2 linked regions of the Caenorhabditis elegans genome follow. The protein of the gene in region 1 interacts with the protein of each later gene in a biochemical or structural test. Each region holds a gene or a part of one and is shown on either strand. Other genes may lie near its edges.

Evidence for each region.
Region 2: the proteins of C35E7.6 (region 1) and atg-2 form a complex in vitro, tested with the Caenorhabditis elegans proteins (one study listed by BioGRID).

Annotation. Positions count from the first base shown.
Region 1 is NC_003279.8:10,815,271-10,821,461, forward strand, and holds C35E7.6 (CABIT domain-containing protein), read left to right. Parts: upstream 1-2,071; 5' UTR 2,072-2,089; coding exon 2,090-2,588; intron 2,589-3,026; coding exon 3,027-3,446; intron 3,447-3,494; coding exon 3,495-3,587; intron 3,588-3,648; coding exon 3,649-3,839; 3' UTR 3,840-5,573; downstream 5,574-6,191.
Region 2 is NC_003284.9:6,807,455-6,812,401, forward strand, and holds the start of atg-2 (Autophagy-related protein 2), read left to right. Parts: upstream 1-1,640; 5' UTR 1,641-1,649; coding exon 1,650-1,802; intron 1,803-1,849; coding exon 1,850-2,033; intron 2,034-2,085; coding exon 2,086-2,472; intron 2,473-2,549; coding exon 2,550-2,756; intron 2,757-2,813; coding exon 2,814-3,060; intron 3,061-3,109; coding exon 3,110-3,351; intron 3,352-3,399; coding exon 3,400-4,021; intron 4,022-4,072; coding exon 4,073-4,947. UniProt on the Caenorhabditis elegans protein: Lipid transfer protein involved in autophagosome assembly and in the distribution of atg-9 and atg-13 during the autophagy-mediated degradation of protein aggregates.

The sequences.
Region 1 (6,191 bases):
TGTCCATAGCATTCCCAAAATATAAAATTTAAAATATTCAATTAACGTAGCATTTTCAGCAAATCTACAACACCCTTTCCTTTTATTTGGTTTGACTGTGCTACCTCTGCCAACGATTGCGTAAAAGAGGTGTGACGTCACAGTTGACCTCGCCTTGGTTGCCCCCCTCCACAAATAACCTTTTCATATCGAGATAGCAGTAGCTGCACCCTTTTTTGATAATGCTGTTCAATGATTTTATCAGTAGTATGATATCTGATTTATCTGTAGCAAAGAGTTTGAACCGATTTTTTGAAAAGTGTTTTACGATTTAGATCTATCAAACCTTCAAAGATACCTTAAATTGAGCCTAAAAAACTATTTATATTGTTAAAGCAATAGAGGTTTAGTACATATATTTTAAATATTTTTTTTGAGAAATCTACAGCAATTTTTCTTAAACATTTAAATACAAATATTTGGAACATAATTCTGTCATATCTAATTTATATCTATGTAGTCTGGAAAATAGTCCAATATGACTGAACATCACATTATAACCATTCCCAATTTTTTTAGATATTCCAAAATTTTAGTAAAAGTTTTGGCATATAGGCAAATTTTTCCAAAATCTGGACATATTTTTGAGTAATTGATGCAGATTTAAACTTTTTAAATGGTGAAATGCAAACAAATAAAACGGAATTAAAATATTAAAATCGTTTAAAAATATTCTTTGCTCCACTTCCAAATCTAAAATGAATCTGAATTATGAGTTTCCACCACTGAAATAAAACTGTAACGTTTTTTGTGGGTTTTAGGATGTTTACGCTTACCTGAATATTATGCAATAATTTTAGAAAATTTGAAATTTCTTTTGGTGATTTCAGAATTTCAGATATTTTTTACAAAAAGATAAGCTTTTCCTGAAAGCCTTTAAATTGCTTACCTAACTCTAACCATACTGAAAGCCATCAAAATTTTGGCCAGAAAGTTGAACTATTATGAGTAGGTTGATAGAAAATCCCTTCTGACTCTTTCAAAGAAGTCACGTTCTTAAAAAAAAACCACCTCGTGATAAAGCTCGGATCCGCTCTCATTTTTTCCAACCAAATCGCTTTTATTTTCACGGCTCTTTCCCTCTCGCTCACTCTTCGTTGACCTCGGTCTCTTCACTCCCTTCAAGCATCTTGGCATCTCTGCGTCTGTCCCTCTACACACGGGGGTTCTCTCGTATGCATACCACTCTCTCTTATAATGGTTTTGCATTCAAGCAATGAATCTTCTTTTTTTGTTTTTAACTCTTTTATGTTTTAAAATAAATTGTTTCGATTTGACATGTTTAATTTGATATGCATTACACAGACAATGACTATAATTCAATAGTATGTGTTTTTAACTGAAAGGTTTCCAACTTTGAATGAATTATAAACAATCAATAAAGGGGAAAAAATCACACTAAACATTTTTTGAAGTTTTCAAAGTGGCAAATACTCAGTTTTCGGTCTTTTAGTAATTTTGGAAGTCATCCGAAAAATGTAGTTTTTTCCTAAATAAGTTGATATTCTAATTACGTTAAAACTATTTGTATTAAAAAGTTATTGGAGTTCAAACAGGCAAAAATACTCGAAATTTCTCAAAAGTCTATAACTTTGAAATTTTACCAAATTAAATTGATCTTAAAAATTCAACTTTGCGCCAGTGGCGATTTTCATGAACTTCCAGTCAAAGTTTTAGCAAATTGCCATATTTTTGAAAAGCATGAGATTTTAAGGAAATTCAGAGCTAAATTGTTTTAACACATATAATTAAAACAAAATTAAAGTATAAAAATCGTAGAATTTTTTGATCGATTTCAAAAGTTAGGAGTGGCAAAAACTGAGTAAATGCCATTTTTTGAGAGAGAACAAAGTTTTCAGAAATTTTTTTGAAACGTTTTCCTATGAAATTTGGTCATTTTGGCATTTACCCCACTGGCGCTATTCCAACTTTAAACAATTTACTGTATTTAAAAAAATTATGAAATATCCCCGCTGCTTCTACTCCCTACTCCATCTTTTAATTTTACTCTTGTTCTCCATTTTTCAAAATGCACAATTTTCAGTCAAAAATGGATGTTGTTTTTGAAACTGTGAACTGCCTCGAGTCAAATAGAAAGATCATCATTGTCAAGCTACCAGATGGATCTTCAGAAAAGTTCTTCTTCAACGTGACAAAAAGAGCCTTTGAGAAGATTGTCTGCGTAGATGGTAAACCAGTTCAAATGGACAGTGACCTGACTCCCCATCACTCGGTATGGTGCCCACACATTCATAAGAACATCATTTTCGCCTACAACCACTTACTCCGAATGAACCTCCAATATCTTTTCGACTCGGAAACCCTGAGTTTTCACGAAACGAAATGCGATCAATGTCATCTGGATCCGAAGAAATCGACCAATGTCAAGCAGATTTTGCTCGTCGCGGCGAGCCCAAAAATAAGAAGACCAATTGTTCTCACTATGAGCCAGGAAGGAAGAGTTTTGAAAATGTGTTATGATGAAATTGAGAAAAATTATGTGGATATGTCACCAACTGAAATTAAAGCCTTGACACAACTGAAGGATGGTTAGTTTTTAAAAATTAAAGAATTGAAACAGTAAATTTGAAAAACGGAAACGCAGAAAAATGTCAACCTGAATTTTTTTTGCATTTTTTCACCGACTGCAAAAAATGCAATAATTTAATGAGCTGACAGCCCGTCTGAAAGCATTTCTAAACAGTTTTTCGAGTTCAAAGTGGACCTCTAGTTTAAAATTTTTGTAGGTATCTACATAAAAAACGTACTCGTTCAAATCCCGAATCAGGCCCAAATACACGTAGAAGCGTTGGACAACTGTCCATTCTAAATCCTAGCTGGATTACTAGTTGAACAAAATAATGAACATTTGACTAACATAAAAAAAAGTGGAAAAATCAATAATTGGTTCTGCCCATATCTTGGTTCGATTTGAGTGATTTTCTTTAAAACAAATTTTAAAACGAAATAACAATTGAATATTTCAGTGACCGCAGCAATGGAAGATCTTACACTGGACAGCAAAGTAATGGAAAGTGACCTGATCCCATTGGTCAAGGAAAAGAGTGTCTTCTTACCACATGACAGTATTCTAATTGCTAAGAACAAGAAAACCAACAAAATCGGACAATATGTATTCGATAGATATCATCATCAATTTCTTGAGGTAGTCATGTCCGACATCGAAATTAAGCAAGAAATGCCAAATATCGCGAAGCTTATCAATGTGACAATGAGCACAAAAACTGAGCAAGCAATCAGTATCAGATGTACCCCTGGAATTGGAGAACTGAAGAAATTCCATTATAATCGGGAGACAGCATCATTTGATCCAATGGAAGAAAAGGCAATTGTTGAGAGTGATGAGGAAATTCAGAGTTTTATTGAAGAGATTGAAAAAACGCAGGGTGAGATTAGGAGAAGAATGTCTAATAATGTGAAAAAGATTTTTGCAGATATTGTATGCAAAAAGATCAAAGCAATCCTCTGGTTTTATCATAATGTGAAACCATTTTTGGCAAAGAAACTTGAGAATCCTGTCAAGAAAAGTTAGTTTTACATACATACTTTAACTGTTTTTTTTTTCACCTAAAACTGAAATATTTTCAGATAATGACTACAAACGTTACGTTTTCAAACCAGTGGAGCCGGAAGAAAAAGTCGATGATGAAATGGATTCGGTGTCCGAACCAGAATCTGATTCTCTCTCGATGAGCTCCTCTAGTCGGAGCAGTAGCCGTAGCAGCCTGTCGAGCGATGACTCTTTCGAGATGGTCGTCGATATTGATTTTGTTGAGTAGTGGCTGAAAACTAATAAAATACCCTTATACAGTGCGCGTCAATGTTATAGGACCCCCCTCATTTTTTTCGATATTGGGAAACTGAAAAAATTCCATGAAAAACTTTTGTGATATTTGGATTCAGCATGTCAAAAAACCTAGGTTCCTGTGTTTTCACGAGTTTATCATTAAAACTATAGACACACGGCAAATATTTCAAAAATTAGGCCGCGTCACTGCTATAGGACCCCCTGGGATTTTCGAAAATTTTCACTGAAAATCTCGATTTTTTCACCATTTTCAAAAAAATAAGATTGAAAACTGGTTTAAATCTGGTTATTAGCTCAACCTTGTTCTGTTTTCCAAACTTTTGTAATGATCGGAATCTTCAATTTAACAATTTTCTCACATTTTTAGACGTTGAAGCTGAACGAGAAGCTCACAAGTAACTTTTGAGCTTGAGCTTACATTATCTCATGAAACACGTATTCAAGAATATTCCTGTCAATTTCTGTCTGATTCCGTTCACAAATAGTCCTTTTGCAGCATTTTTAGTGCTGAGCTTTTAGCCTGTTTTCAGTGTGCTTCTTGATTATGAGCTCATATCTAAGCTATTCCTTGACACATTTTTTAGAAAGTAGTCAGGGAATGAAGCCCACATTTTTCACTACAAGTACCATAAACGTTGCTTGCTCCAAAAATTTCTGGTATAGCCTACACGTGAGAAAAGTTTGCGATGGGTTATAAAAAATCTTGGAAATGTACTGTGAATTGAGAATATGAATTCCGTCAATTGTAGGCTATGCCAAAAATGTTTGGTGCAAGCAACGTTTATGGTACCTGTGGTGAAAAATATGGGCTTCATTTTCTGACTACTTTCCAAAAGATTAATCAAGCCATAGCTTAGATATGGGATCATAATCAAGAAGCACACTGAAAACTGGCCAAAAGCTCAGCACTAAAAATGCTACAAAAAATACTATTTGTGAACGGAATCAGACAGAAATTGACAGGAATATTCTTGAATACGTTTTTCATGAGATATTGTAAGCTCAAGCTCATAAGTTACTTGTGAGCTTCACGTTGAGCTTCAACGTCTAAAAATGTGAGAAAATTGTTAAATTGAAGATTCCGATCATTACAGAAGTTTGGAAAACAGAAAAAATTGAACTAATAACCAGATTTAAAACAGTTTTTAATCTTATTTTTCTGAAAATAGTCAAAAAATCGAGATTTTCAGTGAAAATTTTCGAAAATCCCAAGGGGTCCTATAGCAGTGACGCGGCCTAATTTTTGAAATATTTGCCGTGTGTCTATAGTTTTAATGATAAACTCGTGAAAACACAGAAACCTAGGGTTTTTTGACATGCTGAATCCGAATATCACAAAAGTTTTTCATGGAATTTTTTCAGTTTCCCAATATCGAAAAAATGAGGGGGGTCCTATAGCATTGACGCGCACTGTATAACCACTTTTCAAAAAAATATATTACCCTCTAAAACAAACAGACAACACTTTTTGCTCACTTTTCGAGACATTATGAATGTGTGCAAAAAGAATTGTTAGTTTAAATCTTCTTTTGACCCTTATCCATGTTATCTCAAGTTACCACAGAAGTCATATGCTCTTGTAGAATACAGTCCCCTGTACATTGTGAAAAAATGTAGATATCTTGATGTATCTTCCTAAGCTACACGATTGTTGGTTAACATTTTTCGATTCAATAAATTTATCCTGCAGATTAAATGTAATAAAACTGTAACATCAATAAAAAGCTTCAGGTCTAGCAGACAGCAGTTCAGCAGACACACTGAAATAACATTTGTTGTGCGAAAAAATCCCGACTTTTTGTAGATCAAACCGTGATAGGACAGCTTGACACCACGTAGCATGTTTCGAAAATCTTAAACTTAACATTAAGCAATTGAACATTTGGTTGATATTATATCTTGGGAACTTTGGAAGAATTTAAAACGTAATCCCCACAAATGACAGTCCATCTTGAAGCAAACCGAATCCGATCCCAAAAGGACCGACATAATTGTTCGCTCACTTTCAATTGATTTTCCTCCTCATATGCATCAAGGATTCTCGTATTGTTCAAAAGGTTCCATTCAGGGGTGTGCGGATAACCGATTTTTTCGGCTAACGGATAAATCGGCTAATGCCGATTTTTTGAGAACCGGCTAACGTATAATTCGGCTAACGGCTAATTTCAAAATTTTCGGCTAACGGCTAATTCGGCTAATCTCAGTCATTCAAATCGGCTAATTTTCGGCTAATTCGGCTAATTCGGAAAATATTCATTTGGTTAAGCTTTTTTTGTCCATTCTGTTAATTCAGGTTTTGGGTTAATTTTTTCACTGTTATTGA
Region 2 (4,947 bases), on another chromosome or scaffold:
CACGGCTGAGGACTACTTTACTGTCACTTACTGACCTACTGAACAACGAGAGCTCGGCGAGTCAGCCCACTGTCAATAACTCTCATGAGTTGCGCACCCGGTGGGCTGCGTCTCTTGTTTTCACGCTCTTTTCACGTGTTCTACGGACCATGAGGTCCTTTATTTGGGCATTCTCCCCCGTTCATTACCAACGCTACTATTCCTCGTCCTCCTTTCATACACACACAGTGCACCACCCCATGAGCTCTCATGCTATCTCCTTATTCTGTTCTTATTCCTTCTCCGTCTCACATCGAATCCTCTTGCATTGGCAGATCTCTAGCTTGTCCGACTCTTCTTGTTGCTACTTTGTTTTCTTTGCCATAAATGGAAACTTTGGTGAATATGTAGTAACCCAACTCCATTAGTATGTGAATAGAATTTCAACACATTTTCCAACAAAAATTTACACTTGTCAGTCTTGCTCATTCATAGAAACTAAAATTTTCCTTTTGACTTTTTTGCGTATTGCAAGGAACGGAGCAAGAGAAAACGAGCGCCTGAAAATTGTAGAGCGCTGAGATGCGAGCGACGTGTTTTCCCTTTCTTCAGTCGCCTAGCTGAAAATTCAATATTTATATCAGTTTCGTTTCTCCCCCTTGTTGTCTTTGGAGCACACGCCGAGCTTGTTTAGAATGAGAATCTGGAAGAATTGTTTGTTTGTCGCCGAGTTTTTTTCTATTTGAGTTCTTTACCCCGGAAACGACAAAGAGAGCAAAATTTTGTCTTGCAAATATACGATTTATAATAATACTGAGTATTTTAACATAGCAATGTAAAATTTGGTTTACTTAACTTTCCCTTTTTCTCACTCTCAACTGTCAAACAGCAAGATCCGCTGGTGATAATGAAAACCGGTTCCACACAATGCCTGCCACTATTCAATCACTTTTTTTTTCTCCAATGGTCACCATTTCTCTTGAAATTTGAGGATCTTTTGAGACGTACCTGGGTGGGTTAAAAAGAGCAACTGTCTAGCACAAGATGCGCAGGCTCACCCTCATCCAGTTTTACTGCATCAGCTGTTTTCAGTGAGCAAGAAAAAGAAAAAGAGGGACCACGATGTCATTGCTCTTCTTCTTTTTTCTTATATTCTCCCCACTATTTCTCTTGCCTGAGAAAGCTTCCGGCAGAGCGCGTTTTCCTTTTTTAGCTGTTGCTTGAAGCGTGCATCCGTGTGAGTCTTACACAATTTTGGCTGTTTATTTCTGCACTCTCTTCAAATAATACAGTCGCCGCATTGTCCTTTACCATTTACTGTCTTCGTTCTCTCAACCTACAGTGCCGATGCCTACATTGCCTCTTTGTTCACGGCGCATCCTTCGTTTTTCTTCCCTCTCTACTTTTCCGCTTTTGCTAGGTTCTCTCCCAGTTTGATACATGTATCGTGTCTCTGATGTCAGGTGACTGCAGTTGTCAAAACCACGAAGCACCTGTACCGTTTCCATTATCGACAGTCTCTGTCGAATAATATAGACTAGTCAAGTAGAACCCACACCATACAAAAAATTTCAGTTTTTTTTTGGAATTTTTTCCTAACATTGTTCGCATAATAAAAGTCTTAATTCTTCAAACATTCTAAAAAATTATATTTTTTTTCAGTTTCACAAATGACTCTATCAACATTTAATCGAGTATGGTGCAAGGTAATGCTACAGAGATATATGGGTGCATGGCTGGACAATAATTTATCAGTGGATCAGTTATCACTCGAATTAGCAAATGGATGTCTTGAACTTGATAATTTAGATATTAATACAAAGGTAAGTGGAATATTGTATGGATTTTGTAAAATGTGGATTTTTTATAGGCTGTCAGCAATGGATTTCTACAATGCAATATTCCACTGAAACTAATCGACGGATACTTGGGGAAAATCAAAATTGAAATACCGTGGCTGAGCTTGATGACGGACCCAACCAGAATGTGCATTGAAGATTTACAGTTAACGTTTAGAGGAGCCGAAGTTATGAAAATAAACGACATTGAAACTTGTGAGTTTTTAAACAACCTTTTCAGTTTTTTAATCAGTATCTGGGTTTTCAGTAACATCGATGATTGAGAGTGTTCTGATGGGACTGAGTACAGACGACATGGCTCGAAGTGTCTACGAAGAAGTATCCAAAGAAAATAATGTTGCAAGTGAACTGTTGGGTCCAGATGATACTGCTGACAGCTTCTCTGGCTTCATTGACGCCGTTTATTCTCGTTTTTGCTTGAAGATCAAACATTTAACACTTCGATTCGAAACCGATCCAAAGAACAGATCAACTATGGCGACAGCACTCGAAATTCGTGTCGAAACGATCACATTTATGGATGAGCAGATGCGTTCTTGTGAGATGGACCACACAAATGCGACCGACTTAGTGACCACTCAACCACATGGTGTCGTCTCAACCACCAATTTGAGGAAGAATCTTACATTTTCTGGTAGGCATTTTAATTAAGGGATTATTAATTGACGAATTATTGCCTACATTTTTCGATATTTAAAATTCAAATTTAAGGTGTTACTTTCCATACCGATGTCTTCTCTCAAATCAACAATGACGGAATGGGTGACGAAGAGAATGTTCTTATTACCAGCATGCATATCCGTAGAGAAAAAGCCAAGCAGATGTCGCCAACAAAGTCGGTACAAAATTCATTACATCCAGAAATGTTTCAATCTGCCATGAGCGACATGGACGCATTTCATTCTTGCTATGATAAACGTGAGTTGTCTTTTTCTACAATAAAAATGGCTTCCAACGAATGACATACATTTTCAGTGACACAAGATTATTGCTCGCCTGATCAGCTCGAGACCTTGCGGACAGCTCCCGCCGAGCCGGAGCTTTTTTCTGCTCCAATTCAATGCGCAGAAGTTGTCGGGGATATTTCGTGTGTATTTCGGATAAAAAACGGTGCAAATGATGTCAATTATGCTGATGTCGATGAATCTAAGGTGGAAACTGATGTTTTCATCAAAGGTATTAATGTTTTTGCAACACCTTCACAAATTGAAATTGTTAACAGGTTTGTAAATATTTCTTTTAAACCCCAGTGTTAAAACTATTGCTTACAGATTCTTCTCATCCATCGTGACACCAAAAGAACTTGTAGTTCACGAGCAAGGAAAACCAATGAGTAAAGAAGATTATGAGAACATGACCAAGAACATGGAACCAAACCAATCAAATGAACCTCCAATGGCTGGCGCTTCTTTTGGCGGTAACTGGAATGTTGGAGAAGTGTTCCGAGAATTTGATGATTTGAAATCCATCAAAGAAAAGGAGAAGAGCGAGAAAGAAAAATTCAAAAGTCTAAGTAAGATAGTATATATTCAGTTCACTTTGAAACAAAATCAAATTTCAGAAGCCAGCGGAAACATCAAGGAAGAATTTACAGTGAATACGCATATTGGGACAGTTCTCATGTACATTCCTCATTGTGATTATATGTCATCGGACTACGCTCAACAACATGGAGGATATGCAAATGTGTTAAACTATCTTAAGAAAGAGTCTGAATCATTCTTCAAATCTATTCAAGGATACTCGTTTATGTCAAAGCACGGACTTGCAAACATTCGACAACAATCCGATTCATTCTACCCAAAAGATCATCTTCGAATTGTTGGTGGATCTCTTGGAATCACCTCAAGCTGTAAGCGAGTCGGAAACGTGGATTCTTTTTTATGCCGAGTTGTTGCCACTCATTTTGATATGTTGGAATATCTCACACCAGAGAGCGCTCCTGAAAACAGTACTCCTATTCGAATCGGACTACTTGACTATTCCGAGCAGGAAAACTTGGAAAGTGATCCCAACTTCAAAATGGTATTGAGCACTTCCTCTGAACAGAAAGGACTGACAAAAGTTGATATCCTGTTGGGAGCCGTTAAGACTGAACTTGACTTTTCTATTATTGACCGCATCTCAAATCTTATTGCATGCAGACCATTCTTCGATGAGGCCTTGACAAATTATGGCAACCGGTAAGCAATAAATTGTGCGGACACGCATAAAACCACAATTCTTTATTACAGAAACACAGTGCCGCAATTGAAGGACGATCTTTACTCGGATGTGTTAATTGCAGAGGATGACGTAAAGTCGAAGACACTGGTCAATTTGAAATGCTCAAATTGGCAAGTTGATCTGCGGATACCGAAAGCAGACCTTCGTGATCCAACTGGTTCCCGACTCCCGTTCTCTCAAAGACACGTGCATAATGAGTTTCTTCGCTTGGGAATCAAAGAAATTGATGTGTCGATTCCAATAGAGAAATCTGTTACCCTGATAGAAATTCTGTGCACGGAAATGATTGGAGACTTTTGTGGTGAAGGGCTTAATATTCCTAAACAACAACAACGAATTCTACATGCGTCAAAGAATGGATTCGATAAAATAAATTTGAAGCTTACTCTCTGCTCTGATGCGAAAAAACTGCCCGGTTGTGGAAGGAAAACTTCAACTAGTGGGATCCCAGACAGCATGATGAAGTCAGTGTCCGCGGATATAATGATGGCACACCCGAAAAAAGAAGGTCCGTTCTCGAAAGTTCCAAGGTCATACTGCTCTCATGATGGCGAAGAAACGGAAGAAATCATACAAGCTGGGACCAGAAAAGAAATACTCGATTTCCAAGAGGAATGTCAAAACTTTGCATCTACCTTCATGCTCTTCACAGTTCCTGTTCTGAAGCTTCATATTCCGGAGAAAAACTTCTTGGAAATTCTTTACAACCGACTGGTTAATGATTTGGCTCTTTTCCAACCTGCAGCTCCAGCGTTCCGCAACAACCAAAGCACTAACTCGAACGTTCAACCTTTGGAATCGTTCCAAGAATGTGTCTCTCCAAAAAATTATGCTGAAAGTGAGCACTCTGATTTGGATGATGATGTGGCGACGCTACATGAAA